7 linked regions of the Coturnix japonica genome follow. The protein of the gene in region 1 purifies or fractionates together with the protein of each later gene. This does not show direct contact. Links are inferred from orthologs where the notes say so. Each region holds a gene or a part of one and is shown on either strand. Other genes may lie near its edges.

Region 1 (3,127 bases):
CACACAGCTGAGTGCAATCACTCCCCGGGGCTGCAAAAATCGCTGTCTTTTCATTAGGAAACGTTTGCAAAACCTCCTTCAAACAACCTCGCCGGTTAAAACGAAACTATTTGCTCCTCTACAGTTCAAGTTAGGTCTGCGCGGAGGGTCAGCAACCCAGCGGTCCAAAACACAGGCACGAAAGGCGTATTAACATAAGCTGTGCATTAAGACTTTATACGCCTGACAGTAATGGCTCTGCGCCGCGCGCCGTATCAACTCGCAGATGCTCCAGCAGCAAAATACAGTATTTTGGGTGCATCCCCGCTCTGCCCAAGGACAACCGTGAAGCAAGAGGGCACTAAGGACCGACAGCGCTCGGGGTGACGCTTTAACCCAGTCTGTCCCGAACAGCAACGTGCCGCCCTCAAGTTACAAGCATCGCATAGCGCAGCACTCCGCGCGACGCTCACACGGGAGGATCGCACGCGGCTTCACGACGCATCCCCCGCTGCAGCCCAACTTCCCCGGCTGGGGGCAGCCAGTAAAGCTGCAACGCGACGCTCGCGGTGCCACGGCCGCCTCCACCCTCCGGGGAGCGGGATAGCGCCTCAAGGACGGCTTATGCCCCGTTTGCTTTCGCTGCGCGCGGCTCGCCGACAGACCGAGGAACGCTACAGCGGGCAGCCCTGAACCCCCCCACATCACCCCCCACAGCCCCCAGACCCGGAGTTCAGCAACTCCCGACTGACCTGCCGCCGCCACGGGACCGCTAACCTCGCTTACCCCGCTGACCACGGCAGCGCTCCGCAGCCCGGCTTCCTCCAAATGAGCGGGCAACGCCGCGCAAATCGGCGCCGAGCGCAGCTCACGGAGCGCAGCCCCTGCCCGGCTCCTTCCCCTTCCAAAGGGGAGCGAGGACACGGAGCAAACCGCCCCAAATTGGGGACGCCAACACAGCCGCGAGACGGACCGCGCCTGGCGCTACCAGTGCGCGCACCGGGAAGGGAAAGAAAAGGGAGGAAAAGGGAGGGGAGTGCGACGTGCTGCCCCGTCCCACAGCGCTGCCGTGCCCCGCTGGTTGGCGCCGGGCTGCAGCCACCAGTTGCGCTTCCACCCCGCGCGGCTGCGGTACCTCGAGCAGGACGCGATGAAGAAGTGCCTTCTGCAGAAGTCCGGGTGTAAAGCAACAAGTGAGAGCGCGGAAGGAAGGAAGGAGGGAGGGAGGGAAGGGCACGGCGCCTCCTCGGCTCGGCTCAGCCCGCCCCGCCGGTGTCTCCGCTCTGCGCTCCGCCGGCCCCGGCTGCCACCACGCGCCGCGCACGCGAAACGCGATCAGCAGCCCGCCCCGCTCGCAAACACTATTGAGCCGCGCAAGGAGCCGTAGGGCGGCCGCTACCATCCGCCGTCCTGTGCGGGAACGGGGGAGCTCCAGCGCCGCTCTGCATCCTCACGGCTGAGCAAGAACGGCTCGCACCGCCCGTGTCCCCCCGGTGCAGTGGGAGCGGCCGTAGGGCTGCGCTCGGGCAGCTGCAGGAGGAAGCGGCGCTGTGCGAACCATGATCATCCCGGTGCGATGCTTCACGTGCGGCAAGATCGTGGGCAACAAGTGGGAGGCGTATCTCGGGCTCCTGCAGGCGGAGTACACCGAGGGGTGGGTGTCATATTAACAGCACACGCTAATACCTTGCTTTAAACTAAGCTCAGAGCAATCATTGCGTTGCTTAGGAGCACTTACGAGCGGTTCTGACTCGTTTTGTATTTATTTCTTTTAATCGTGTTGTTATTTGTTAATAGAGATGCCCTGGATGCCCTCGGATTGAAGCGCTACTGCTGCCGCAGGATGCTCCTGGCACACGTGGATCTGATTGAGAAGCTGTTGAATTACGCACCGCTGGAGAAATGAGAGTTGATTGACCCAGCCACCAGCTTCTCCCAAGGAAATAAATGAAGGCCGACATCCACTTCACAGCTACAGCTTACATATGTAGATGTTTCTCTTTAATTACATACAGGTTGTTATTGGTTTCTTTTTGTGAACTTTAGGATGCTTTTGCCCGTAAAAAATAAATGTGTTTTATGAAATACAATCATTTGTCTATGTAAAATGTTGAACTAGAGGAAGCCTCTGCCTGTGGCCTTCCTGGAGTTGCTGGGTAGAGTTCAGCATACACTTCCATCTCACTATTTCCTCACAGTGGTCATTTTGAGGTTAGAAATACAGTGTTTGAAGCTAGGGCAATCAAGGGGGGTTAGAAAGAGAGCAAAGTTCCAGGCTCCAGAAACAGCACAGAGGATGTTTGTTTGCTATGAATGAGGCATTACTCTTAGTAGGTTGCAGTGCTAGCGGAGCTCATTTTTTCACTGAAGTCAGCCTATAGTGTCTTGTTAAAAATTGGGGCAGACTGGCAGCTCCATCACAGAAAACAGTAAATCAGGTGGCGCAGTGCTCCTCACTTAGGTAAAATACATCTGAAGGCAATGGATGTGAGAATTAATGCATGTAACTGTGAACAGGATCAGAGTCTTGCCAAACACCTGCACTGCTCTGTTGCTGGTATGAGTGCAAGCTTCCCACTTGTCAGTCATTTCATTGGCTTCATATAGGATGTATGTGCAGCCTGGGACTGCCTGGCCAAAACAACCCACCTTTCCACTGCTTGCTGGATCAGACTTCTCTGCTCAAACCTCAAGAAGAGATTGTCTCAGAAAGAACAGTTAGAGGACAGCCAGCCTCTGGCTATAGCTACTACCCTACCAATCTCTACACTTGATCTAACTTTTCCATTTATTACAATGGGATAGTGGCTAAGTTTTCTCATATTCAGCAGTTCTGCAAAGACACTAAAACCACATACTTCAGCCTAATGCAAAGAGAATTAAGCAACTCTAGTATCCCCTTCAGTTTGCGGGATAGCTTTTGTTCTGTGTGACTGCCATATTACACAACAAAATTCACTTAATAACAACTCTTTCTGGCTGTCTTTAAAAAGGGACACTATGAAATATAAGATGACTGTTTCCAGCTAAAATCCTGTAGGACCTTTCCATGTTACAGCAGAGCATTATGTGGAGATGCATGTAAACTTGCACACAGGAAGCTCCAAATGCCAGGTACTGAGACAGCACAGCAGCCCAGACCGCTGCC
Region 2 (4,279 bases), on another chromosome or scaffold:
TTATTTTATTTTGAACTGTGCAAGCATGCATTTCTTCCTGAGCATCTAATTTACAATTAGAGAGTCGTTCAGTGACTTCCACCATGTCTGTGCCTTCAGACTTAGAGCTGTAACAGACTTTCTGAACATGCTTCTTTTTGAGGATGCTGTTTCTGTGTGATTGCTGTGCAAGACTGGCTGAACTTGTCTGACTTCCCGGTAGAACAGAAGAAACAAATTCCTGTTCGGTATCACTACTGCTATCACTGGCTGTGCCATAAGAAGCAGATTCATACGGAGTTGAAGATACCTTAGGATTTTCAATGTCAGAAGCTTTAACTACTTCATCACATATTTTCACTTCTTCTCCAGATTGGCCACTGTAACACAAAACACAAGCCATCAATGAAGTATGAAATGGATGTTACGTGAGATTAGAAAATTATTATATAAAAGAAAGAGAAATGGAACCTTGTTCCTGTATAGAAAGTGTATACTTTTTTTTTTTTTTTTTTGCTCTAGAAATCATCTTTAAACTCAGAGTTCTAATGTTTTGCAATTAAGATGGCAAGTTTAAATGCTATTTAGAGAAATTTGTTCCCAGATGCTTAGTGGCAGTTAGAATAGTAAACAAGTTGTTACTAAAGACAGACTTAAGTTCCAATTTAGTATGAAGAATTTTAAACTATTTCCATTTTAAAATATAGATCAGTATCTCAATATACACATACACGTAGTAACTGTAAATCAGTAGGCCAGTAGAGCTTGTTTTTGGCATATTTAAGTTTGCCATCTAATGGCTGGATGTTCCAAAAGAAAACAAAGTCGCCATATGCGGCAAGGTACAGAGAGATGACAGAGTAACGTGAATTCAATTGAGCTGATATTGGTGTTTTAGAATAGGAAGTGCAGAAGTTTTCATCACCTATAATTGGTACACTTTCTTCATAAAGAATAGATGGTATAAAATATTTAAAGTACAAACAGTGTATTTGTTTCAGATTTCAGCAGGATCAATTATGACACATAGGCCAAGAGCAGCTGTACACTAAATCATACAGGTCAAACACGCTAGTTTAGAATCACAAAGGAAAAGAAATAAGACAAATAACCCTTTGTCTAATAAAGTCTTTTCAAAGATTTGCCCTTTCCCCAATATAATGTTAATATTTCTAACTATAAATGCATATAACAAATTATTATTCAATGTACCTCTGCCCCTTCTTCAGCAGCTCTATGTCTGATGGTCTGCAAAAAGAACATAAGGAATGATGACTTTTTTTTTCTGCTAAATCAGTACCCTTGAAATGCACAAACACAGAAAACACATAGTTGGGGCTGGAAAGAACCTCTAATGATCTTAGTCCAACATCCTTTGTTCAAAGCAGGGTTAGCTGGAGCAGGTTCATACATTCACATTCAGAGCATAATTTGTGCGGGCCTGTAGCATTATACATTTAATAACTTATCAAATCATATAAATGTTAGTTAGAAAGGACCTCTGGAGGGCTCCAATCTGACCTACTGAGACAGTGAGACTGTTACCAGCAGTAGATTAGATCAGCCACACCTTCTTTATGTTTAAATCTTGAGGATTGAGATTTCAGAACCTTTCCGCATGCACTGATTTGTTCCACTGCTCTCTTAGAGCACACCTTTTTCCCCAGTGTTAATGTAAACCACTGATACCATAATTTATGGCCAACATATTTAAAGTACAAACTCATTAAGTTTTTTGATAGAAACCAAGAACAGTTTGGGTCTGTAGCCTAGGTAATTTTTTTCAATAAGTGTAGACTTTTTAGATCATCCCTTGGTTTCCTCTTCCTCGAACTAAACATGCTCAGATCCTCATAGCTCACAAGGTCTCTATAGGAAAAACAATCTTCAGTAGTTTGCAGAAAAAATGCTCCAAATTGTTATAGGAAATAGGAATATTCAGGATATCTTCATTTGAGATGTTACTTGTTTAAAAAAAATAGACTCTTAAGTTATAGTGGGCTAAGAAAATGGAATCTGAAGGTTTCCATAAACACTAAGAACTGTTACTGAACAGATTCTGAAGGATTTCTTCCCAAATTTCTAGCTGCAGTTCTGCTTCATTTCAGTTATAAGGTAACATCACAATGCTAATTAGTTTATTCAACACTGGCTATTGAAATCCATACCTGCCTTACGAATGACAGAGAACCTTTTAAGCATGCCCTGAATGTAAGTCAATGAAATAACTCCTTAAACTTGGACAGTATATATATAAAAAAACCAACATAGCAGATGTAAAAGGATGAAAGTTGCATTTTTCATATAAATGAACTGAGTCTGGAAAGTAAAGGTGGTAAGACAGTGAAACTATTAATTCCAAATAATTACTCTTTAAAGTTTTAAATGGAGGTTTTTAGCTTTCTCCATCAAGAGAATTTCAGGTATTTTCACGTGTAAATGTGTATCAGTGTGTGCATATATAATGTTTATGCAATCTGATATTACTTTATTATGTTTGTTGGTTTGTTTTGGAAAATATGCCCATCCCAGCATGGATAATTAACTATGTCAAACATCAGAACTCCGCTTTTTATGGTAACAACAGAGATGTTAGAAATAGTTTCTTTAGAGAGAGCAAAACAATACCATGAATACGCAGATAAGCTTATTTAAATATTTTACAGTTTTACCTAATTCCTCAGATCAGGCTGCTTAAAGCCTCTCCTCTCACTGACCTGTGTTTCATATAAATCCTCCTACCATGAAACTGAGCTCACACATATAAATTCAGATTGTTTATTCTGTTGAAAGCAAGGGTACTTGCTTGGACAATGAAAATGGAATGAGCTGAACCTTCTCTAGGCAAGTATTTATTGTTGAGCAGTGACACCCAGTGGCTCAATTCTTTGTTTGCACACCTATGTTTCCTAATTTTTTTTAATATATTAAAGCACAGACTATGTAACCCTTACAAAATGTGTTGCAGTAGTAACAGAAAATAGGCAACCTAAAATAGCAGTTTTATGTGGAATAAGGAACTTCATTTTGCAGACTTTCAGGCTAACCTCTGAAAACCTCTTGCAAGGTAAGATGGATTATTCCTTTATCTTACATGGCTTGTAAAAATCCAATCACAATAAATACATTTTAAAATTAATAGGAACTCATTATTATTTAAGACTAGTTTGCCCTCTAAACTAACACAGTCAAGTCTGTTGAGTAGTCATTACCAGAACTGGGCTGCATCAATTACAGTAATCCATGTGGCAGCAACACTTAACATGAACAACACACTAACTTAACATCACTTGTCTCTGCTTCAGCCTGACCATTTGGATGTACTGCAACTAATTAATTTGCGTTGCAGCTTGGACTAAGAAAACAGTATCCTTGAAATGAGCCACAAATACATAAGGTCACACTTACATTTCTTCTTCTCGCATCCATACTGGACTCTTGGAAATTTGAGCTTCAAAATATTTAGATGCTTTGTAGCAAAAATTGCTGCAAAAGCACTGGAAATAAACGATGGAAAATATGATTAAAGACATCTTCAGTAGTAATAACTAAAAAAAACCAAATAAAGCACCAAAACACTCGAAGAGCAATTCTGAACCCTGTAAAATGGCCATACAGTTTAAAAGACATGCAATAACATTCAGGGTCAGCAGAACTTTTTTTTTTTTTAGTTTTCAATATGACTCTTAACATTTTGGAGATGGAAACACACTACTTACTTTATGAAAATGATTTTCATGAGATACACATGCATTAGTTGTGATTCAGTCCATTATATGAATGCTGTTACAAAATGCATTTGTGATGTGGAGACAATATTAAATACATTCTAAAAACAGCTTGTTACCATACCTTTCTTTCAGTAATATCGTAAACTCTGTTAGTTTTTGTTGAAATCCTGTACTTCTGTTTTGGCACCTAAAATGACATGCTTTCATCAGCAAGATTGTCACAATGTTATATAAAACTTTCCTTTTAATTCACGTTTTCAGTATAAGTAATGTATTCAGTTTTAACTGAATTACGTACTACAGCAGCTCTCTTGGTATTGTATCTCCTTAGACATTAGAACTGCAATTTCTCATTATTCATTCACATCTTAGTAGGCAACTTCAGGTTTACAAGAAAGCCTCTGCTGGGAGTGAACCAATGGAGCTGTCACAGAAGAAACCCTGTTCATGTGTGACTCTGCCACTATTCAGACAAATCCAGAGGGGAGCTTACATCAAAGGTAATAGTTTCCAAGTTCTGTTGGGACATGTGAAATCCAAAACGGTACCTATTTTTCCTTTCATGATTT
Region 3 (4,279 bases), on another chromosome or scaffold:
AGCAGTACAGCAGTTTTTTCACCGTTCCCTAAGGAAGACTCAGAGGTTTCAGTGCCAGCCAGCTTCAGGCTGAGAGAAAGCTCGGGGTGGTTGTCACCATATCAGGAACAAGTTGTTGGGAACAGAAACTGAGACACTGGTAACTAAGTGGCATGTAGATACTATTAATTGTATGAAGAGAGAGGTTCCGTGATGCAGGTCTTAGGCTGGGATCCAGTCAAATTATTTTTCTTTTTTTACTAATGGTAATGCAGTGGTAATGCAGCAGTAGTGCAGTGTTAACCAGTGGTTATATGATGATGATGGAACATGGTGTATCTGTTTATATTTAGAAAAGGAAATGATTACAGCATATGCAAACATCTCCTGAGTTTTATTTCTATCACAGTAAGTGAAGTGGATGGAAAGGCATCTTAACAGAATGTGGACGGGCAATGTAACTGCTGTGCCTGTGACCTAAATAATTGTTTATAGGAAAGTCTCAAGCATTGTTCTAGAGAATAAGCAGCATCCGACCTCCTGGCTGGAGCAGACCACGTGAGCTGCCTGGGAAGCGCGTGAGAGGAAAATGTCATAGTCCCTTCTTTAGTATAGGTTTGTACCCATGGGGGCACCTGGGGTCACAGGATGGGGCAGATCTGCTCATGAGACATGGAGGGATCCCTGCAGAGCTGCAAAGTAACGGGAGGACACCTAATGAGAGCAGGCTGAAATGGGACAGTTTCAGGGTTACAAAGCAAGAATACTCTATTGAAGCTCAGTGAATGTTATGTACGGATTAATGCACAGATGGTTTGTTTTATAGAAAGTTAAAAGTAATTGTGTGTTAATGATTCTTTGTCTAAAGCATCGCCAAGTTTTGCTTGAAATTTTTTCGAAAAATTATCGAGTGCGCAGAAATGTCATTCAGAATCAGCTGAGTCAAGACCTGAACAAGCAGGAGGTGGATAGAGTGTTAAAGGTAAGTTCTGCTCACTTGGGGTTTTGATTCAGTTAACGCATGAATTTTTAATGCTTTGGTTTAACTGAAGGATCATGTATTGCCTTGAGTTGACAAGTGATGGTAGAACAGTCGCTGTGGGAATGCAGGCAGGGCTTGTTTATCAGCCTGTTTTCTTCAAAGTAACACTCGTCTCATTCTACCTTGTTTCTCTCCAAAGAGCAGTGATTTTGACTCCCCTGTTATTTGGTGTTATTGCAGCAAATCTTTGTTCTTCCCTTTGGACCAGAAGGGAATAGAGCACAGTAAATGTCATACTTGAGAGTTATTTTTAAGTAATATGGAGTTAAGCATTAAGACAGTGGGAGTGTTCTGTGTTCACTGAGCTGACTGTTGTTGTTTCATGCTGAAGAACACAGGTGTCAGATGTTCAGAAGGAAATGCATTATATTCTGTAGTAGGACTTAAAGCAGTGTAGCAAGAAAAACCCCAAGCAAAACAAGTACAGAGTCCTGCTTAGCACATCTCATAGTGAATGTTTGAGTCCTTTCATCTCTGCCTTTGAAGATGAACCATTTACTTTCTAAACAAGTTTAAGGTATGAGGTATGGACCTCGCAGGCTGTGATTGACAAAGGAGAAAGCTGCCAGCTCATGTAGTACTTCAATCACTGTTGCTGGGCCTTTGCTCACCATCACCCACTTCAGTGAGACAAGTGCTTAAGTACTTTATTACTCTGGGATCTGTAAGCAGAATAATAACCTACTTGAAAAATTACACATCTCTTGCTGTGATAGTAAGCGAACTGGTCTTGCTTGAATGAACCTGGTCTTAGTATTAAAATAAGCTGAGACGTTTCTGCCTGCTATGCAGTGTTTGGTTTGGCTTGCGTGTGCTGGGAGGTTTGTCAGGCTCAAATAACAGCTCTCTGGGGATGTCTCGATAATGCACTGGCATTTGTTTGCACATTGTTGTTGGTGTTTAACAAATAAATTATTTCTGGGAAAACAAAAAAAAACCAAAACAACAGTTGTCCTTAACAAACCAGGTCCTGCTTTTGTAAAATCTAAGTCATTGCACAGTCAGCCTTGTGTTGTGTCAGACTTTGTCTTGAATATATTTGTTACAGAAGCATGTGAAGCTTTCATTGTTCCTGAAGAAAATGTTGAAAGTATGATTTGATGAAGTAGGGGGATTATCTGGCTGCGTTAAACCATGGGAGATTTGATTCTACTTTGAATGAAATAGCATCTGTTGACTCTTATTTCCCCATCTGCATGTGCTCCTGTCCTATATGGGAAAGAGCAGACTGACAGGGAGTGTATTTTTGCATCTGCAGATCCAGAGTGAAAAATCTCTTTTGAGCCTCTGCACATTATTTCTTTGTAGAACATTTGGCTGCAAGTCCCAAGAATTAAGAACTGATAGTTACTGATGCTTTTTTCACTTATAAGTTCCTCAGCATCAGTTCTGTAGCAGTACTTCCTCCAAGCTCCTGTTGAATTACCTAAGTGGGAATGATGGAGCAAAAGGAGCTATTAGCTTAGAATTCATGAGACTTAGCATTCATTTAATAGAAATAAGAAAATGAACCACAAGAAACCTGACTTACTGAACTCCTTTGCTGTGGAGCTTGCAGCTGTGAGTGTAACAGACACGGTCGGAGCACCTTAGTACATTTCTGAGGTTTGACCCTTCCTTGCCACACAACATTGCTGAAAAGGCTCCATCTTGGGGCAGCCTGTTTGCTTCCTCTGCTCCCTTCTGTGTGTCCACATCTTCAGGCTGCACTTACCCTGCAGTTCCTCTGGCTCTTACCTCTCCTCCTGTCCTAAGCTGCTGCACCATCCTTCCCATCTCCTCCTCCCAAAAACCTTGGTTTCCTGCCGCCATCCCATTGTGTATCCTCTCCCTGTGCTCTCAGCCTTTCCCCCTGTCTGCTGTCTTAAGCTTCAGGGCAGAGCTGACCTGCAGCTGGCTCACATTTGTGCACTGGAGGATGTACTGATCACATTTAAGGCTGTGAATCCCAGTCATGGTTCCCAGTGGGGTACACCTTGTAGTGTGTAGTCCCTGCGGTCTGGAAATGCAGGGCAGTGCTGCAGGCACTGATGGGCTCTCCCTTTCTCCCCAGGACTGCTGTGTGAGCTATGGTGGAATGTGGTATCTTAAAGGGACTGTGCAGTCTTGACGACAGCTGTGGCAGTTTCTGTGCTTCAGATGCTCTCCAGGATGAAAGAGGAAACCTGCGGTGGGCAGCACAGACATGGCCTCAGGAGTGTGGGGCAGGAGCTGACCTACTTTGGGGCATGTGGCATTGCAGACAGTCACTGACATTTACAGCACACTCACACATAAGTTTGCATGGCTGCCTGGGTGCAGAGAGCAACTAGGAAGACAACATGGGACCCTGTCTGCAGTTTGATTAATCTGGGATTTCTAATGTATTTTGCTTCTCCTTCTCTTTCCTTATAATAAAATAAAACCATATACTGACACAGACATGATGGAAAATCATGGTCTAATATTTTATTTTGTAAGTAAGTGATGCCAATAAATTAAATTTGTTTACAAACATCCCAGGTTTTGCTCGATACCTACATGCTCATGCATTAGTCTGAGCATTACAACAGCCCTTGCTGCCTTCCGTACAACAAGGGTAGTGATGATTGTGGGCACATCAGAGAGGGGGGGGGGATATAAAATCACTGTCTTTAAACATTGTATGACATAGCAACTGTTCTCACCTGGTGTCTGTAAAATGAACTGTCTGAAAAAGTACTTACACTTGAAATAGATGTGGAACAACTACTGGATGTCTTATTGATGTGGGTTTTGGTTGATGGAGTTTTTGCCTTACTATGTGCAGAGGTAAGTGCACCGTGTGCAAGGCATCCAGCTGCAGATATCACACTTGGCAACAATGTAAAACCTCTATTTTGTGTAACTTTTTTAAAAATAAAATTTTATCTTGAAGGTCAGCTGTGGCATCCTGCTGTACTCTGCCTTCTGTTTGCCCAGGAAGAAATGGAAATGATCTTTGCTCCTTTTAGAGCCCAAAGGCTTACAGAGGAAGGAAAGGTAAAGAATATTTGCAGGAGGTGTTTGAGGTAGATGGCAAACTGCCTGTTGACTTGCTGTACTTTTCTTCTTGCATCACGTTTTTTAGGATGGTTGGCAGGATGCAGCCTGTTGCTCAAGAAATGATAACTGAGCTGCTTCTGTTCTAAGTTTGTCATTTAAGCTTCACAGCAGTAAGGTAAGGAACACCCCACTGGTGGCTTTAGAGCAGTTACTTTACTGTTCATGGGCTTTGTTTTCTGTAATTTCCATCACATG
Region 4 (3,858 bases), about 1.1 Mb from region 1:
ATTCGCTCAGGGGCTCCTGGGGGTCACGGGGTGCCCATGTCACACTGGGGCCTGCGGGATCCTGGACCCTCCTGCTGGGTTCTATCATGCTGTGGACCCCCCTCCCGTGTGCTTGGATCTGGAGCCCCTGTGCCCGGCATCTCCCACTGGCTACAGAGGTGGTGTGAAGCTGGCGATGACCGGGGGAGCTGCTGGTGTGCAGGTGAGGGCTGCAGCCTTTCTGCACCTGCACATTTTGCTCTATATTTTGTTTTTTGGTTTTTTTTAGCATTTCCCCAGGGTTTGTGGTTTTTTTTTCTATTATTTTTTTTTTTTAATGGGTGATCAGGTTTTTTTTGGCTGTCACGTGGTTATTTTTATCTCCATGTGGGGAAGAGGCACATCCCTGTCGAGCAATATTTTCTCATCACATGCCAAAAAACGCAGCCAAGGAGCCCAGTGCTGCCCCGCCACCCCCAGCCCCATTGGGGAGCCCACCCCGCACCGGGCCCACGCAACTTCACGCACTACTTGACTCTTTCTCTATGGCAATATCTCTCCTGTGGCCTCCGCAGAGCCATGCCATTGGTTTTTTGTTTTTTTTTTTATTATTATGATTAGCCATTTTAAAAACGAGGAATAAAAGGATATTTAATGAGTCACCTCAGCGGGCATGCGTGTGCTTTGTGCGGTGTCCAGGGATGGAGGAGTCCGTGAAGGATCCTGTCCTTCACTTCTCAGCTTTCCCTCCCTCGTCTGGAGTGGAAAGGAAGGGGACAAGGAGAGCCGGGCCCAGCCTTACAGGGCTGCCAGTGCCTGCGCCCTCACAGCTGGGATGTGCTTCCTTAGGGCACTTTGGGGCACAGCGCTCTCAGTGCAGGTAAGTGGAGCTGTCAGGGTTGGAACATGTCCCAGGACTCAGTGAGGCTCTGGCTCTTCTGTAGGAGCCCCCACAGGGGCAGCCCTGGGGGACATGGTGCTGAACTGGGGTCACTTGTGTCCTCCTGAGCCTTCTCTCACAGCCCAGAGAGCTGCAAGGCCTGGAGTATGATGGGACAGGCACAAGGCCTCTGCTCCTTGCCCTGCCCCGCTGGCCAACAGTCAGAGCCGCCACTGGCACCAGCTCTTCCTCAGAGCAGACTTTAATTAAAAGGTGAATAAAAAAGTGAGATCCCAATGCACCACGTTGCTTAGGTGTGGTAGGAGCCCCCATTCCAGCAGCGTCCGCGTCACCAGGTCCCCATCAGCCACACAGTGCAAGCAGGGGGGTTGCAAGGCCACGTTCTCTGCAAGCGGGGACCATGAGTGCCCACACCTCCCCGCTGTGCTCTGTGATGGGACGAGTCCACAGCTGGGGCAGGGAGCTCCATAGAGCAGCACAGCGCAGCCTCACCGCAAGCTGCTGCTGCTGCTGGCCTGCGAGCTGCCCACCCCGGGGTGCTCGGGGCTGTGTCGGTTCTGCAGAAGAAGGACAGGCGTGAGGCCTTGTGAAACCCAGTGCCAAGCCCTGCTGGAGGCCTAACGTGTGGTGCTGCCGCGGCCTGGCACGGGGCTGGTGCAGGCAGAGCAGAGCAGCACGCTGCCTCCTAACCTACCTTCTTTTTCTTTTTCTCCTTCTTCTTCCTTTTGCGCTCCGGATCCTCCTCTTTCTTCTTCTTCTTTTTCTTGTGGTCTGAGTCCGAGGGGGTTTCTGCAGGAAGCAGAGGAGGGGTGAGCGGGGCACAGAGTTACCAGGACACATGGGGTGCAGAGTTAGCAGGGCACGGTCCTACCTGGGGGCACAGGGTCCTGCGTGCGGCTCTGCTTGTGCTTGTGCTTGTTCTTCTTCTTGGGCGGCTGGATGTGCATGAGGCGGCACTGCTCCGGCAGCTGCAGGGGCTCATGTCAGCGGACCCCCTCCTTACCCCCATCCCCCCTTCCTCCCCCGGGTGCTCACCGGGCCGGCGTGCAGTCGGAACCCGGTCAGCATGGTGCCGGTGAGCGGCGTGAAGGAGCTGCCGCAGATGGGCGGCTTCTCGATGAGGGAGCGCAGGCTGCTGTTGTCGTGTGAGCCGGGCAGGTCGATCATGCCGGGCAGGTCGGGCAGGAAGTTGCTGAGCTTCTCCTTCACCTTCTTGCCGCAGAACTTGTTGTACGCGTGCTCCAGGCTGTAGTGTGTGATCAGGTTGCTGCTGCCCGTCAGCTCCGTGCCGCCTGCGGACGGACCGGCACCCTCAGCGCCCCGCCCCTCGCCGGACCGCCCGCGCCCATTGGCCCGACGAGCCGTCACTCCGCGCGTCCCGCCCGCTCATTGGCCCCGCGCCCCCCCCCCCTCCCCCGCGGCCCGGCCCGCACCCGGCAGCTCCCGCAGCAGGTAGAAGGGGCCGGTGGCGGCCTTGCGCGCCGCGTCGTCTCCCGGCGGCGGCACGGCGGCTGCTGGAGGCGGAGCGGCCCCCGCTCCCGGCCCCTTGTTGGGCCCGAAGCCCAGCGCGGCGGCGGCGGCGGCGGGAGGCGGCTCGGCCCCGCCGAACAGCGCCGAGAAGTTCTCCATCTTCCCGCCCTGCCCCGCGCGGGGCCGCCCCGCCCCTCGCGGACGTACGTGCAGCTCCGGCCAATGGGAGCGCGGCGGGCGGCCGGAGGACAAGATGGCGGTGCTGGCCCCGCTGCTGGCGCTGCTGTACTCGGTGCCGGGGCTGTGCCGCTGGCTGGCCCGGCCCTACTACCCGCTGTCCGCGCTGCTCGCCACCGCATTCCTGCTCGTCCGCAAGGTCCCGCCGCTGTGCCGCGGGCTGCCCTCACAGCGGGAGGACGGCAACCCCTGCGACTTCGACTGGGTGAGCGGCAGCACCGGGCCGGCCTGTGCCGTGGCCTACTCGGGTATCACCGGCGCTGGGTGCAGCCGAGGCGGCCCCTCTGTGCGCAGCCCCGGCTCCTGATCGAGGGCAGGCGGAGGATGAAGGCTGGAGCGGCCTGGAATGGCTGCTTGGCCTTGTGGTTGTGCTGCAGGGCTGCTCGGTTGTGCCCGAGGTGCTGGCTGTGGCTGTGGCTGTGGCTGTGGCTGTGGCTGTCACGGTGCTCACTGCGTTTCTCTCCTGTGCAGCGGGAGGTGGAGATCCTCATGTTCCTCAGCGCCATCGTCATGATGAAGAACCGGCGCTCCAGTGAGTTGGGGCAGTGCTGGGTTGAGTATAAGCTGCTGATGGGGTGTCTCTGTACTGGAAACAGTTGAGGGATGAGAGTGAAAAGAGACGTGGCCCCATCTCTGATTTCTTCCCTCCTTCCCAGTCACTGTGGAGCAGCACATTGGGAACATCTTCATGTTCAGCAAAGTGGCCAACGCCATCCTCTTCTTCCGTCTTGACATCCGCATGGGCCTGCTCTACCTCACGCTCTGCATCGGTGAGACACGTGGGGAAGTGGGGGGGGATCCGTAATGCAGGGGCTGTAACAGTGCTCCTGTCAGGCCTTGTCTCTGCCCATCCTGTGCATTGCCTTCCTCAAATGGGGCTGGAGCCATCTTGCCTTGTGCTGCTGCTGTCTTTGTAGCCATACAGGCTGCTCTGGGGAAGGAGGAGCCTCCCTCAGACTAAGCCTGTGTCTCTTGGGCATTCCAGAAGTGGAAAAAAGGGGGCAGAGGCCTCGCTCCAGGTGGGCGCTGGGCTCAGGGATGCTGTTATTGCAGTGTTCCTGATGACCTGCAAGCCACCCCTTTACATGGGACCTGAGTATATCAAGTACTTCAACGATAAGACCATAGATGTGAGTATCTCCTACCCAGTGTGAGTTGGCGTGGGGTGCCGGGCTCCCTGCCTACCATCCCCTGTTGACTCGCGTGGCAGGAGGAGCTGGAACGAGACAAGCGGGTGACCTGGATCGTCGAGTTCTTCGCCAACTGGTCCA
Region 5 (4,930 bases), on another chromosome or scaffold:
AAATCACCTACATCAACCCCTTTCCCTGCCTTTGGTTTCCCCCTAAACATCCCATAATAAGCCTTGAGCAACCTTGAAATGCTCCTCCTCAGCATCTCACATGTCCCATATCCCAGGCAGCAACATCCTTCAGTCCCAAAGGTGCTGCAGCACTGAGTCACTGCAATAGATGGAGGTGCTCATCCCTCCTGTCCTGGCCTTGGGCTTCTGGTGCCCTGTGGGTTGGTGGCACCAGGGATGGGGGAGCTGGAATAAGGTGGTGTGTAGGGCCTCCTGCTGCCCTTATACCTCCACAAGCACAAAAGTTCACTAACACTGCCACTGCCATTCATGTAATCATCTTATTATTCAAGACCTCAAAGAACTGCAATGGTAAAGTACTTACTGCAATCAGGATGCCAGAAAAGAAGCCTAAGCCAGAACACTCAGAGCAAGGATAAATTAAGGCACAAATACACCCCAAAGTTCTCAATGTGGAGCATCTTTGCCTTTGAACATACATGGGGCATGCTGACACAACCATCTTTCGTAGATCAAGATTGTAGCTTGTTTAAATATTCCATTTGTCAGTCTCATAAGTGCTATTTTCAGAACATTTCCACGCTGATATTCTCAACAGTGAAGATACCACTTAATCTAATCTGAAACAATATCAGCTTGCAGACCAATTTTTGCCATAGGAGATAGGGAAAAAATGGGAAATAATGACCTAATTACGACATTTCTATTTTTACTGTTAAAAACAATAGCAAGAAATGTCAATTAATTTTACCAAGGTGCAAAGCTTACTTGTTAAGGAGTGTAATTAGGACATCTGTGCAGCAAGATGGCTATGAATTCTCAACTCAACAAGAGGCTTCTTGTTACTAAACCCAGTAATGGTCTTGGAATTTAGAACAGTATCCCCTTTAGGAAACACTTACTACCGAGATGATGCTCCAAGAAGGCTTGGTAGGCAATTCTAATAAGATTCTGAAATATTTATAGCTAATGAGAGGCAGATCTGACTATAGAACAGTTTTGATACATGGTAATATAAAATCTCTTCCTTTACACTGTCAGAGAAACCTCATTTTTTTTTTCTCCCTGTGCTTCCAACAAAGACACAAAGCACAGAGACCATTTAGAAGGGGAGGTGGGGGAGGAAGAGATGGGGATATGCAGTAGAAATTAAGTAGCAAAAGCAAGTACACATGCTTATAGCAGAAACAACCAGCCTCTGGTAGCTGATCCATAAGGTTTATAGTAGTGACTATTGGGTATACCTTAACATCATCATTATACACTAACAGGATTAATCCCAGAATTTCCTTAGGATCACAAGATATTTCTGGCTTACAGTCTGGATCTGCACTGACATACCAGAGGAAAAAACACCAGCTTATGCTTCCAACAAAGGTTATTGGGTGAAATGGGAAATAACTCAGTAAAATGCAGTGAACAGTAATATTTCACTGATTTTAAGACTACTCCTTATTTTTTAAATCCATACTATGCAAGAGTTGCACTGTAACCTGCAGGTGAGCATTCCCCTTCTACAGAGACTCCTATGAAGTGAAGAAAGCATCAGATGCAAGATGAAGCATGAGTCAGACATGGAAAAACAAGGCAAGCTGGATGAAGACTCTTCCTAAACAACTATAGATAAGTAGCTTCTCTTAGCAGATCCCAGTCTGGAATGTTAAGAAACAAAACTTACTTCAGACCTGAAAAAACACATACAAAAATAGTTATAGTTCCCACAGTACCTCTGGACAGCCTGTGCCAGTGACGTGCCACTCCCTAAGTAAAGAATTTCCTCCTAATATCTGACCTAAGACTTCTCTCTTCTAGTTTAAAACCGCTCCCCATTTTCCTACTACTACCTGTGTAAAACTTTTAGTCTCCCTCCTGCTTATAAGCTCCCTTTAAGAAGTGGAAACACAAAGCACTGGCTGCAAGCAAAAAGTGCTTAGGTTTGGAGTGGCACTAACAAAAAGAGCATTTGTGTCTATATAGAAAGAAGCTTTAATAATTAAACTGATGATCTGAGTGAGGAAGTGCCCTACCAAGAATTAAGGCTTCTTGGAAAGCATTACATTCTCTATCCCCCCCACCACCCCAGTGGCATCATACGTATCTCATTTCAAAGATGTGGTAGATCTAAGCTGAAAGAAGTGACTTAACAGAGAATCACTTCCACTAGAAGGGATCCCTTAAGGTCACCTGCTCCAACCCACTGAAATGAACAGGGATATCTAGAGCTAGATCAGAGCCCTGTCAAGCCTGGCCTTGAGAGCTTCCAGGGACAGAGCATCCACCACCTCCCAGGGTAACCTGTGCCAGTGCCTCACCACAATGATTGTAAAGGAACTTCTTCCTTACATCCAATCTATGTCTCCACTCTCTTGCTTTGAAACCATATCCCCCTGTCCTACTGCAACAGACTCTGTTAAAGCATCTGTCCCCTTCTTTCTTATAGACCCCCTTCACATACTGAAAGGCCATTCTCAGGTCATCCTGGAGCCTTCTCTTCTCCAGGCTGAACAGCCCCAGCTCTCTCAGCCTGTCCTTGTAGGAAGGCATTCCATCCCCTGGGTCATTCTGTGGCCCTCCTCTGGATGTGCTCCAACAGCTCCATGTCTCTCCAGTACTTCAGGTGAGACCTCACCAGCACAGAGCAGAGGGGCAGGATCACTCCCTTGGCCAGCTGGCCATGTTGCTTTGGATGCAGCACAGGTTGGCCTTCTAGATTGCCAGGGCACATTGCTGCTCATGTTTAGCCTGTGATCCAGCAGTACCCCCAGGTCCTTTTTAGCAGGCCTTCCCATCAGCACTCTCAAACACATTTCTTAAAAGTTATGAGACGGAACCATGAGATTCTCAGCCATCACTTCGCTGTAACAGTTCCATGCAGCTGCTTGCAAAAAGTTCAGCCTCTACGCGTTAACCAAATAACTTTAACCACCCATTTATACGACTTTTAAATCTCTCGCGTATAAATGACATTACAAGAGCGGTCCGCATTACGCAGAGATGCGTAGCAATGGGCTGAGGGCTCAGGGCCGAGCACAGGCCGCACAAGCCAGGCCCTACAGGCCGGGAGCCGACACAGGACCAGCCCCAAGGCCTCACTGGCCCTACAAGCGCAGCCCAGAGCGAAGGAGAACCCGCAGCACAGTACGGCCGCCCCTCACCTCTCCAACTCCAGATCCTCCTCCATGGCAGACTACAGCCCGGCTCCTCACGCTGACACAGACGCCATAGCCGCTCTCAGCCCAGCTCCTCGAGGCGGAGCGAGCAGGCGCAGCTCCGGATCCGGCGGGGAGGGGGCGGTGCCGGGCGGGGCGGGGATGGAGCCCTGGCGGCAGCGCTGCCCACCCCGCCCCGCCCCGCCCCGCCCCGCCCCGGGTTGCGCTCCGTAGGGCGGAGGGTCCCTCCCGGCCCGGGGCTGCGGTGCGTCCCGCCTCGGCCGCTCCGCCATAGGCTGAGCCGGCCCCGCGCCCGGCCCCGCGCCCCGGGGCTGCCGCCGGAGTGGCGGAGCGCGGCGTCACTTACGCTGCCCCGGGGGAGGCGGGGAGCGGGGCCGGGCGGTGGGGAGGGAGGCGCCGCGCCGAGTGGCCGCCCGGAGTTCGGCTGCCGCCGTGAGGAGCCGGGTGCCGCCGTGGTAAGTCCGTGCCCCGCAACGCGCTCGGTCCCCTGGGGGCGGCCCGGCCCCTCGTTGCGCTCCGCGGGGCGGGGGCCTCCCCCGGGACAGGGCCGGGCCTGCGGCGGGGCCTGCGGGGCCGCAACAAGTGCGGGAGGGGGAGAGCAGCGCCGGGCCGCTTCGGGGAGTTGTGCTGGAGCCGTGACTCCGGAGTCGCGTTACCGCTGCCTGGGGAGGGCGGAGGGCAGGGAGAGTTGTGGGCAGCGCCGGAGCGCACACATCGATGCCAGGCTGCTCTTTTCTCTCCCCTCTCGTTTAAACCGAAGGTGCGGTTGGAAAACTTGCAGTGCGGCGCCTTGTGAACTTTCCCGAGGCGTGCCGTGTTACTGCTCCTCGCTGTGTGTTGGTGCTCAGCCGAGCGGGTAGGGAGTGCTATGGCACTGACAGGCTGCTCGGCCCCATGGGGCTCCTGTGACCACGCTCCCGGTGCGGGGCGTTGGTTGTTTCCTGCTGTAGGAATCCACCATTAAGTACGCCCGAGCTTCGTTTAATTCCTATTTTAATTACGTGATCTCGTTGCTCTCTGTGTGCGACGGGAAAATGACACGGATCGGCTTTGGGTCGTGTTTGATGCTCTCTGGAAATGCACTCCTGCTCGTAAACGCATCAGAGCTTTTGCTCAGCAGAGACCCAGATCCGAGCTGGGCCCCCGTTAAAGTAAATGAGTGATTTCTGTGTGTCTGCAAACCATTGTCTTCCTTTGGGCTCCACGAAGCTTTGCTGTAAGCTTCAATCCCACCGCAGATCAGGGAGCTTAGGGGGAGCATCAGATGGCTCCGGTTAGCGGCTGTGCACTTGGGAGCAAACACGGCGGTGCCATATGCTGCCGTGACTTCATTACCATCCCTCCAGAGACAAGGTTTGTGAGCACACCTTTGGGAACAACAAAACCGACTGGGACCTTCTTGCATTGACTTCTAAAGTGAGGAATCCCCTCTTTCCTGAAGCCAGTTCTATATGGTTGACTCCAAATGCAGGGAATTGTAAGGATTGCAGTTGTGCTCAACTAAGGTTTTGTTGGCTTTTGAAGTTCTTTATATTAAAGAAAAATATCATGCTTTTAAGTGCTTGTATTATTGAAATTCTAAAATCTTGGAATAAGTGCCTATAAAATGCACATTTTTTTCTTTAATGAGAGCTTTCTATAATGAACTTGTAACTGTCCTGGCTTCTAGTTCTGGTCTGTGACTTCAGCAAGAGATAATCCAGGGCCTTGGACTTGGGTCTACAATGGTTAAATCAACA
Region 6 (4,279 bases), on another chromosome or scaffold:
ATGATGAACAGAACATGTCCATTTTCCTACCACCATGTCATGAAGATGCTGACAAACCAGAACATGTTTACAAGTTTGACGACAGTATCTTTTTCAGTGACAGTGTGGTTTCTGGTGCCTGTAAACTTTCTTGTTGATAGTCTGTCATGTGGAGAATGTGCTGCTAGGCATTTGACAGCAGAGCTGAGCCTTCTCCCCTCACCAGCCAAAAGCTGATAGCAGGAACTTAGTATGTTGAGGCTTCAGGGTTAACAGTTCTGTATTCTTCCACCCTACGAATACAGGGGTACTATGCCTGCCTGTTCAGAGCCATTCAGCTAAGAATAGCATTAATGTCAGGAGTATGTGAGAAATTGTTTGTGTTTGAGCCACTGTACTTCAGAGACATTTAGTTTTGGTTACAACAAGTTCTGTTGTTACTTTCTGCAAATTTATAATCTTTTTCCCCCACTTCCCTACCTCACACCTCCCATAGCAAGAGCTGACAGACCGTATCTCACTATGAGCTATTCAGAACCAGAAAGGAGAGAATGTCCCCATGTTCTTTTCCTTAAAGTCCATGCAGTTATATCTCCAGCAGAGTATGAAGCATTGCAGGGTCCGGCAGCAGCCTTTATTAACATCACTCCAGAGGAAATTGCCAAGAAAACAGAAGAGAAAAGGTAATACTTCCACAAGCAGCCTTTTAATAGCTAAGGCTGGCATTGTGAAATCGTGTTTCTTCTTACAGGCAGGATGGCAGCTGTAGCCAGCTTTACCAGCTCTACAGTATGGGTAGTGATAGTCTTCAGTCTAAAGGGAAGGCATCAGATCATGACCCAGTGTATACCTTTGGGAAGTGTGGAGGTTTAACTTTATGGGAGAAAAGGTGCTGTGCACAACAGTGTGGCTGTCCTCTTGGGAACTGATATTACAGGGGAAGAGAGGGAGTAAATCCAAAGTGCAGGATGAAGGAAAATACCTAGATATGGGACCACAGAGCTGTGCTAAGGATGATATTCCTGTGGCCGAGCATTGTCCATGCCACATACTGTCGTAACTGGAAGTTACTGTAGCTTTGCAAATGGACATGGACTTGTGCTAAGGCCTGGTGCTGAAGTAAGCAGGTAAAGCAGAAGCCACAGCTCACTTTCACTGCTTCCCATCTGTATCTAAGCAGAAGTGTGTGTGCATGCGCACACTCCATGGAGTACTTGTGGTTTTTGCAGTGCAGGGACTTGTGTAGTGCCACATGCAGAAATGTTCTGACTGTGGTGGACAAAAAGAAGAGCAGCATTGTGAGCTTTCTTGTATTAGTGTTCAGGGAACTATTCTAACCTAGGAGACCTGTGCACTGAATTTAAGGGTGTGTTCTAATCAGAAAGCTAGTCCCTGATTCTCTGGTCCTCATGCTCCCTCTTTCCTCTTTAGCCATTGCTCCTTCGTCTTAGAAGAGCTGAAGTTCCTGCCTGCTGATGAGATGAGCAGGGATCACAAAGCTCGATGCCTCTGGTTCCTGGACATCCTTATTAAGTTCAGCTTCCTAAAAATCATCAAGAAGAAGTGTAAGACAATTTTCAACTCTTACCCTTTTCAGCTGCCTGTTGGGACTTGGCTTGTAGTTACCATAATAGCAAACAATGAAGCTTCCCAGAGTTACCTGTTTGATAAACAGCTACATGCAGCAGTTACAGTTCAGCTTGTTTCATGATGAGGTTCAGCATTTCCGTGCCATTGTGGAGTTTTAGATCTGCACCTATTGGGATATACGTGTGTCATTCTCTTCAGTCCTTTTCTAACTGTCATAAATCGGGGTCCTGAAGTGAGATCCTAATTGTAGGAGGTAAAATAGTTTAAGATTAAGATTAAGTTTGAGATTCTTTTTTTACTTACTGACAGTTTTTGGTTCTTATCCCAGGAGGCAGGAAACTATCAGTGCTCTCCCTCATCTAGACTCCATTTTTTAGCTGCAAGAGGCATGCAGTACACAATGCAATCTTTAGGTGTTTTTGTGCTGTCTTTGTGTCAGACTTGGCTTAGTATCTCAATGTGTGGATGACAGTCTTCAGAATGTTTCTTATAAAGTGGCAGGAACTGCTTTTCTCAAAAGCACTGCACAAATGTTTTGATTGAAGTTTACAGGACTTGCTGTATTTCACAGACCTTGTGTTTCTGTTTCTTAAAAAAATTCCAACGTTACCATTTTCAGTGTCTGGGAAGATGGATGAGGAAGGTAAATCTGTCTGTAAATATCTTTCTGCATTGGTGGAGACGCGGGGTCATCCAACAAGAGTTAGTCTAGGAGGCTTGAAATGGATATAAAAATAACCAGTCTTGGTGCTCACTGTGAAACCCCTTTCTATTCTAGATCCAATGGGTCCTGAATGCCCGCTCATCATTAGCAGGAAACTTATGAAAAACTTCACTTCACTGACCTACAACAATGGCAGGTAAGGAACTGTGATTGCTTTGATGTTATTGATGTTCAGATGATGTAGAAAACAGCTTGAAGGGTCACAGAGTCTTTATCAAATAGCACTGCACCAAAACAGGAATAGCAGAAGCTTCTCTTGAGTAGCAGGCCAGGCCAGGTAAAATATTCTGTTGTGACTGATGTTCATACATGAATAATGTAAGTCTAAACCGTAACTGGGAGAGGCAGAGTCATGTGCTTAAACAAGCCTGTGCCTGTGGATTTAGCCAGCTTCACCTGGCTGGCTTGATCAAGAGTGAGAAGACTTGTAACTTGCTACAATGCCTTTCCTTGAGAATCCAACAGCCTCTGCACAGCCTAACTGCAATTGCTCAGCCATCATATATCTGCTGTTTGCTGTGAAGTGGAGGTTCACAGAGAGGTTGAATCCATGTGGGCCAGCGAAGGAGCATTTGTTTATAAAGACTCAGACCAGAGGTGAACAGTAAAAATAAATGCTTTCAGACCTGCTCTGTTGTGTATGGTTGCAGTGAGTACCCTCAGATCAGCTTCATCTTGCTGTTGTCTTGCCAGTGTGCCAGAGAGACAGAAGTATCTGCAGACAGTGATTTAATCAAATCTGTAAACCTGTAAACATCTTGAGAGACCTGCACTTTTGAACAGAAATATAGGCAGTTGGTGAGGAAGATCTTGAGGCCCCTGTGATCAGAGATCTGTGTTTCTTAAAGCTCTTTTTTCATGTCTAGGAAATGCTTGTCATAGCTAACTGGGGCTCCAGTTCTGTCTGCACCTTGTGGGTGGTTGTGTTTTGGGTTTGCTAACTCTCTGCTTTTCATCTGTTCTCACACTTGCTGTTCAGTGTTCAGAATTTAATCTCTGCGTCGCTGAAGACTAAAATTGCAGCATATGTCATTGCACTGGCTCTGCACATTAAAAACTTCCAAGTTGACCTCACTGTCCTGCAGAATGACTTGAAGCTCCACGAAAATAGGTGAGTCATGTTCGCTCCTGCCTGTTAAGATGCCTGTGGTCCTCATGCAAGCAGTCCCTGGGGAAGAAGGCTCTGGATACTCTTCTGTGCCCAAATAGTACAGTGATACCCGCTGTGAGTTCCCTGTGTTGCAGTTGGACTCTGAGTGTGTTGAAGTTTTATATTCAGGCCCTGCTACGTCTAATGGGGTGGTTATACGTGTCAAAGCTTTGAAAGAGTGCTTATCACAAAGCTGCTCAGGTGTACTGTGAGGCTTTTTGTCTGTTTGAAAGTGGAAAAACTTGAGGCAGGCAGCATCAAAATGGCAGAAAACCTATCCAGGTACTACCCAGTGCTGTTTTTTGCCTGCTAAGTCATGTTGCTCCTCACTGAACTGTCCCCTGCATCCCTTCTTTCTGCAGAGATCTGTTGTCAGCTAGGTACCAGTCTGGATGCAAGTACAGATTTGTATCTGACTGTAACTGGAAAACTAGAAAAAGATTTTCTTTCTCACAGGCAGATTGCGAGCGTGTAGTTGCTGTTCCTCCCCAGATGCAAGACTTCACAATTTAACTTGATAAGATTCTGCTCGCCTTACCTCTTCAGTTTGTCAGAGTCTGTCTGGATGTCAGCGTAGCCCTCTGGCACTGGGAGGAGGAGCCAACTCAGTGAAGATAAATGGGTGGAGAACAGTGTGCAGTATAAGCATCCAGGCAAACAATGCTTGCCATGATAGATTTTGAAGAAATTTCTTCCTAGACTTAAATTTTCTGTGGAGAAATTACTGTTCATCTGCTACGTGATGTCTCTGTACTGCTAGCTGCACGGATGTACTTAAACCTGCAGGTTTGAGGCAGAGCCTGACAGCTCCTCTGGCAGTGAGGACTCCCAGCAGA
Region 7 (4,727 bases), on another chromosome or scaffold:
ACACTAAGAAGTTAACAGTAAAACATACGGATGGATACTTTAATTCTTCAACATCTTTTACCTGTGAAACTAACTCCTGATGCTGCTGTGTCTGCTTTCTGGAGTAATTAGTTTGCCAGCATTGCAGGCAACAAAGGGCAGTCAAGCAGCAGACAGCACACTGTCAATTTGATATATCAACTGTCCTTCTCTTATCTACCTTCTCTACCTTCTCACTTGCTAAATTACAGCAGTAACATTAAAATGCCACAAATGTACAAGCTATTAATTAAGAATTTGCTTTCATTCCAGAGCATCAATTTGGTGCACCTGGAAATGTCTTAATAAAACACTGGAAAGAACTGTTAATTCAGATAGTGATATATGAAAATACCTTCAGACCTAGGGTTTGCATGTCCTGCACAGGGAATATAATGTTGTCATATTCCAATGCAGATACAAGCAAAGGCTACATGCAGGTGCTAATAGTGGGGAACAGATTCCCAGCTGGACTGGGGATTCCTTGTGTGTTCTTCTAACCATGAAGTTAAGATGTCCATTCTAAAACAGAACTAAGTTAAAGCAGGATACTTACTTGGTAACTGCAAGAGCCTTGACTGTTATTTTCCCGACTGGTAACGTGATAGGACTCTTATACTTAAAAGTGTTACGCTCTCCATAGCCAGGCTTCCTAAAAAGTTCTGGTTTACTTCCATCTAAAGTGTAATAAATAGAGACCTCAGGTGTATCTGAACAACACAGAGAAAGTAATTAGCCAAACTGTGCAGGAGCTGGAAAAAAACACAAATATCTGTACAACCCTGCAGATACTCAGCACTGTGTGAGTACTTGACTTTCTCACATAAGCACAATGAAGCAATTGCATAAAAGTTCAGAACCAAAACCGTTTCTCCCATGAAGAACTGACACTGAATGGCTGCGATGTCACGATTAGCAATATTTCTCTTCATAAAGTCACCGCACGGTGGTTTTGCAGGAAAACACTGTTCTACCAACAGATAAACCATCTCCTCTGATGGCAGGTGGAGTTCCTGAGGCCAGTTACCTGCAGCCAACACGGAGGCTGGAAGGCTCAAACGCTTTGAGAGGAGGTTTGACAGAGGCAAAGCCGCAGCCCGTACCTGACTTGATTTCCACCCGGGTGCCGCTGTCGATGCGGTGCTTGGCCTGCCCTGGAACAGGGACCCGGAGCGGAATGAGCTGCGGCACAGACACGGAGCCCGCCGCCATCCTGCTCTGCGATCCCTGAAACACAACAACAACAGCAACCACAACAACAACCACAACCACCACAAAGCAGGCGGTGTCGACAAAGCCCACGCGTCCCGTTACTCGGCAACCGGCACCGGCGCGTACAAATAACGTCATCTCAACGTGCCGCTCAGTAACCGATCCCCTCCGCTCCTGGTGACGGCATCTCCCCGCGCAGCCCGGCCCGCCGCCATGGCGGAGGTGAAGGTGAAGCCGGAGGTGCCCGACCCCGTGGACATAGAGAGCAGGTGCGTTGGGACGGGCCCTGGCCCGAAATCATCGGGAGAGGCTTCGTGGTGCTGGGGAGGCGGGGAGCGGTGGGTCCTGGTGGGTCCTGGTGCGTTGATGTTGAGAGCAGCCCAAAAGTGAAGTGGAGCAGCAGCGCTGTCAGAAAGAGCTGAGAAGTGGTTCTTCCTGAGCTGCTCTTTCCTTTCCGTCCCTGCTCTGATGGCCTTTCAGGTGGCTGGTTTTGTGCACAACGGCCTTTGGTTCATAAACCGCCTCATTCCTCCCCCAGGATCATTGAGCTGTGCCAGCAGTTCCCTCACGGCATCACAGACCAGGTGATCCAGAATGACATGCCGCACATGGAGGCCCAGCAGCGAGCCATGGCCATCAACAGGCTGCTCTCCATGGTACGACGTTCCACACCCCTTCGAGCTGCTTCATCCTGAGGCTCTTGATGTCAATGGGCTGTTGTCAATGGCTGCGTGGTGGCACCCAGCTGGGCAGGGCTGGGAAGTTCATCTTGGATTTAGTGTCATTTGCCAGAACTGGCAGTTTTTGCAGCTTAATTGTGGTTCTCACTTGTGACCACCACAACCACTTATAACGGTCACCATCATCTATTAAAACATACCTCAAAATGTAGTTTCCATTCTGTAAGATAAAGTTAACACCTGTTGTGTGAGTGAGCAGCCTCCATGAGGCATCCTCAAACTTGGCTGACACTTTTCCAGTTATCTACAGAACTGAGAACATAACCAACAAAATAAGAGCCCTCATCTCTTCCACTTGTGGAATTGTTCAGTGTTCCTGTCCAGCAGAGCTCTCACTTGATATCTGGATGCTCATATGAATGAGCACTTTGGTGGGAAGTATACAAGAGCTCCATGTCCCAAGGTGAACGTTAGGAGAAACAACGGGAAGTGCACCAGTGTTGTGGGGAGAGGCTGGAGCTGTGTTTGTTATTTCTGACAGCTAATGATAAATGCATGGTCAGAGGGGAAGAATAATATCCTCAGGGTTATTGTTGTGTCTAGCAGTTAGAAATGTTGTTTTTCCCTTTTCTGTATTCAGCTGATACAAAGTACATTTATTTTCTTTACAAGTTAAGGAGATTTTCTTGCCGTGTTCTGAAAAGAAGCTGTTAGAAGGGAAGTTAATGTGCTGTGCCTGTTTCCCACAGGGGCAACTGGACCTTCTCAGGAGCAGCACAGGTCTCCTGTATAGAATCAAAGAGTCTCAAAATGCAAGGTGAGCCTTGTGCTTACGCAATCAATATCTGAATGCGGTTCTGCAGCTGATGTGCGGCGTTGCTGAGAACACAGCAAGGAATTTAACATGGGCTCTGTAACAAAGATATTACAGAATTTACTTGCTTGATACGCTTAACCCCCCTGAGCCAATTCTGTCAACTGTTGTATGATTCCTGCTGCACAGACTCTCCCATGGGGCTCCAGCTGTAGCTTACTAGTGGAATTCTTCATCTGGCAAAGTGATCTCTATGAGCAGATGCGAATGCTCAGATGAAAGCCAGCTGAAGCTTGACCACACCATCTATAAGTATCGTTCTGTGGTCTTTTCCAGCACTTACAGCAGTTCCAGAAGGCCGCTTGATATGTTGTTTGTGCTCTTTTATTTGATTTATTAAAACATGCCTTCAATAAAGTCGTGTTTTGCGATGTCTGTGTGGAGCTGAGTAGGAGATGCCTGGATTTACTTCTAGAAAGAAACGTCCTTCAAAATTATCTTCCATGCAGGCATCTCAACTTCTCTTTCCACTGCATTAGAAAAAAACCTTCTAAGCTGAGGCTTTCTGAGACCAGTGAGAAGGCACGTTGTAGAGCCTCTGCTGTCCCCTTGTTGCGACAGTTGGTCCTGAATTATGTGCTGAGTGTTTGACCTTATGCAGTTGTGTTAATATGTGACTCCAAACTTCTCTTTGTTAAGAGAAGTTGAGTGTTTCCTGCTTACCCTCATTTTTAATGACTAATATTATTTTTTTTTTCAACTGTGCTGTTTTCTCTTTACTGTGGCTTTTCACTGGCAATCGCAGAATGATCCACAGAGGTTTGGTGTCATGTATTTTATTTGCCACTGGCTGGTTTATTGTGTGGGGCTTCTTTTTCCCTTTGTGTGTTGTGGTTTCTGTTCATAGTATTTGTTTTTGGTTTAAAATAAATCCACCCTCTTTCAAACTTCAAACTTACCCCAAAAAATCCCGTTGTCTCTTCTACTCCACAGTAAAATGAAAGGCTCTGACAATCAAGAGAAGCTGGTTTACCAAATCATAGAAGATGCAGGCAACAAAGGTAGTTTAAATAAATTATAATGGGGAATGGTAATAGCTTTGTTTGTGGAACTTTTCCTGTCCAAACGTTTAAATTCTTGTCCAGGCAATGCAGATATCAGATATAGAGCACGCCTAAGTCTGTAGCTAATGTTCCACGTGCCACTTATTAAAAACAGAGGAAGACATATTTCTCTATTAAAATAACAAATTATCTGGTCTGACCTTTTGGGACCTCTTTCAAAATATGAAGTTTCAGAATATGAATTATGGCTTATTGATGGGACTGTGAAACTGGGGAATCTATACAAAATACTCATCACTTTAAAAACAAAATTCTGTGTCTCCTGGATCTCCTGTGAGGCCAAATGTTGTGTACATGTAAGAGCTCCCAGAGATACAGATGGTGACTGTGCTGTGAGGTTTTTCTTCTGCTTTGTCAGTTGATTTTTATTTCATCCTCTTTTTCCCATTCCCTCCCTTTTGCTGAGGGTGGTAGGATTGGAGATGCAGCCTTTGGCTGGCAGGCAACATTATGACTTTTGGCTTGTTAATCCTTACAGAAACAAATACCTGGTTCTCCTAATTAATTCTGTTCATTTCTGTGCTTCTTTAACAGGTATTTGGAGCAGGGACATCAGATACAAAAGTAATTTGCCTTTAACGGAGATCAACAAGATATTGAAAAACTTGGAAAGCAAGAAACTAATTAAAGCAGTGAAATCTGTGGCAGTGAGTAATTTTTGACTTGTTGCTTTTTAACATTTCCAAATGTTTGCTACATGCTGTACATGTTTGAACGTGGAACAGGGAGCAGAGAAACCTTGTTCTGCCTCCAGCTTTGTCACTGCATGTGGACCAACATTTTACTCTTAACATTTACAATGTATGTTTGAGCTGTACCAGATCCAAGAGGCTGTCATGTTTGATAAGTAATAAACATACTATAGCAAACAAATTAATA

What was found.
Region 2: the proteins of POLR2L (region 1) and RPAP2 purify together in Homo sapiens (affinity purification with mass spectrometry; 3 studies listed by BioGRID and IntAct, with this or other methods). This does not show direct contact. The link is inferred for Coturnix japonica from reciprocal best matches to the Homo sapiens genes POLR2L and RPAP2.
Region 3: the proteins of POLR2L (region 1) and POLR3E purify together in Homo sapiens (affinity purification with mass spectrometry; 4 studies listed by BioGRID and IntAct, with this or other methods). This does not show direct contact. The link is inferred for Coturnix japonica from reciprocal best matches to the Homo sapiens genes POLR2L and POLR3E.
Region 4: the proteins of POLR2L (region 1) and MED19 purify together in Homo sapiens (affinity purification with mass spectrometry; 3 studies listed by BioGRID and IntAct, with this or other methods). This does not show direct contact. The link is inferred for Coturnix japonica from reciprocal best matches to the Homo sapiens genes POLR2L and MED19.
Region 5: the proteins of POLR2L (region 1) and protein POLR1D purify together in Homo sapiens (affinity purification with mass spectrometry; 4 studies listed by BioGRID and IntAct, with this or other methods). This does not show direct contact. The link is inferred for Coturnix japonica from reciprocal best matches to the Homo sapiens genes POLR2L and POLR1D.
Region 6: the proteins of POLR2L (region 1) and POLR1E purify together in Homo sapiens (affinity purification with mass spectrometry; 3 studies listed by BioGRID and IntAct, with this or other methods). This does not show direct contact. The link is inferred for Coturnix japonica from reciprocal best matches to the Homo sapiens genes POLR2L and POLR1E.
Region 7: the proteins of POLR2L (region 1) and POLR3F purify together in Homo sapiens (co-immunoprecipitation; 3 studies listed by BioGRID and IntAct, with this or other methods). This does not show direct contact. The link is inferred for Coturnix japonica from reciprocal best matches to the Homo sapiens genes POLR2L and POLR3F.

What each region holds. Positions count from the first base shown.
Region 1 is NC_029520.1:8,951,226-8,954,352, reverse strand, and holds POLR2L (DNA-directed RNA polymerases I, II, and III subunit RPABC5), read left to right. Parts: upstream 1-1,455; 5' UTR 1,456-1,538; coding exon 1,539-1,633; intron 1,634-1,776; coding exon 1,777-1,885; 3' UTR 1,886-2,069; downstream 2,070-3,127. UniProt on the Homo sapiens protein: DNA-dependent RNA polymerase catalyzes the transcription of DNA into RNA using the four ribonucleoside triphosphates as substrates.
Region 2 is NC_029523.1:12,306,592-12,310,870, forward strand, and holds part of RPAP2 (putative RNA polymerase II subunit B1 CTD phosphatase RPAP2), read right to left. Parts: intron 3,898-4,279; coding exon 3,832-3,897; intron 3,477-3,831; coding exon 3,388-3,476; intron 1,228-3,387; coding exon 1,192-1,227; intron 360-1,191; coding exon 1-359.
Region 3 is NC_029529.1:8,348,855-8,353,133, forward strand, and holds the end of POLR3E (DNA-directed RNA polymerase III subunit RPC5), read left to right. Parts: intron 1-847; coding exon 848-961; intron 962-3,074; coding exon 3,075-3,131; 3' UTR 3,132-3,517; downstream 3,518-4,279. UniProt on the Homo sapiens protein: DNA-dependent RNA polymerase catalyzes the transcription of DNA into RNA using the four ribonucleoside triphosphates as substrates.
Region 4 is NC_029520.1:7,804,966-7,808,823, forward strand, and holds MED19 (mediator of RNA polymerase II transcription subunit 19), read right to left. Parts: upstream 2,533-3,858; 5' UTR 2,510-2,532; coding exon 2,314-2,509; intron 2,173-2,313; coding exon 1,916-2,172; intron 1,849-1,915; coding exon 1,752-1,848; intron 1,670-1,751; coding exon 1,575-1,669; intron 1,438-1,574; coding exon 1,369-1,437; 3' UTR 1,104-1,368; downstream 1-1,103. Other genes in the region: TMX2 (thioredoxin-related transmembrane protein 2), read left to right, coding at 2,604-2,792, 3,059-3,119, 3,244-3,357, 3,641-3,717, 3,798-3,858. UniProt on the Homo sapiens protein: Component of the Mediator complex, a coactivator involved in the regulated transcription of nearly all RNA polymerase II-dependent genes.
Region 5 is NC_029516.1:157,556,599-157,561,528, forward strand, and holds the start of protein POLR1D, read right to left. Parts: upstream 3,318-4,930; 5' UTR 3,203-3,317; coding exon 3,177-3,202; intron 1-3,176.
Region 6 is NC_029547.1:66,740,121-66,744,399, reverse strand, and holds part of POLR1E (DNA-directed RNA polymerase I subunit RPA49), read left to right. Parts: coding exon 1-84; intron 85-565; coding exon 566-662; intron 663-1,410; coding exon 1,411-1,544; intron 1,545-2,347; coding exon 2,348-2,429; intron 2,430-3,272; coding exon 3,273-3,404; intron 3,405-4,279. UniProt on the Homo sapiens protein: Component of RNA polymerase I (Pol I), a DNA-dependent RNA polymerase which synthesizes ribosomal RNA precursors using the four ribonucleoside triphosphates as substrates.
Region 7 is NC_029518.1:13,402,302-13,407,028, reverse strand, and holds the start of POLR3F (DNA-directed RNA polymerase III subunit RPC6), read left to right. Parts: upstream 1-1,346; 5' UTR 1,347-1,443; coding exon 1,444-1,499; intron 1,500-1,768; coding exon 1,769-1,886; intron 1,887-2,659; coding exon 2,660-2,727; intron 2,728-3,717; coding exon 3,718-3,785; intron 3,786-4,382; coding exon 4,383-4,495; intron 4,496-4,727. UniProt on the Homo sapiens protein: DNA-dependent RNA polymerase catalyzes the transcription of DNA into RNA using the four ribonucleoside triphosphates as substrates.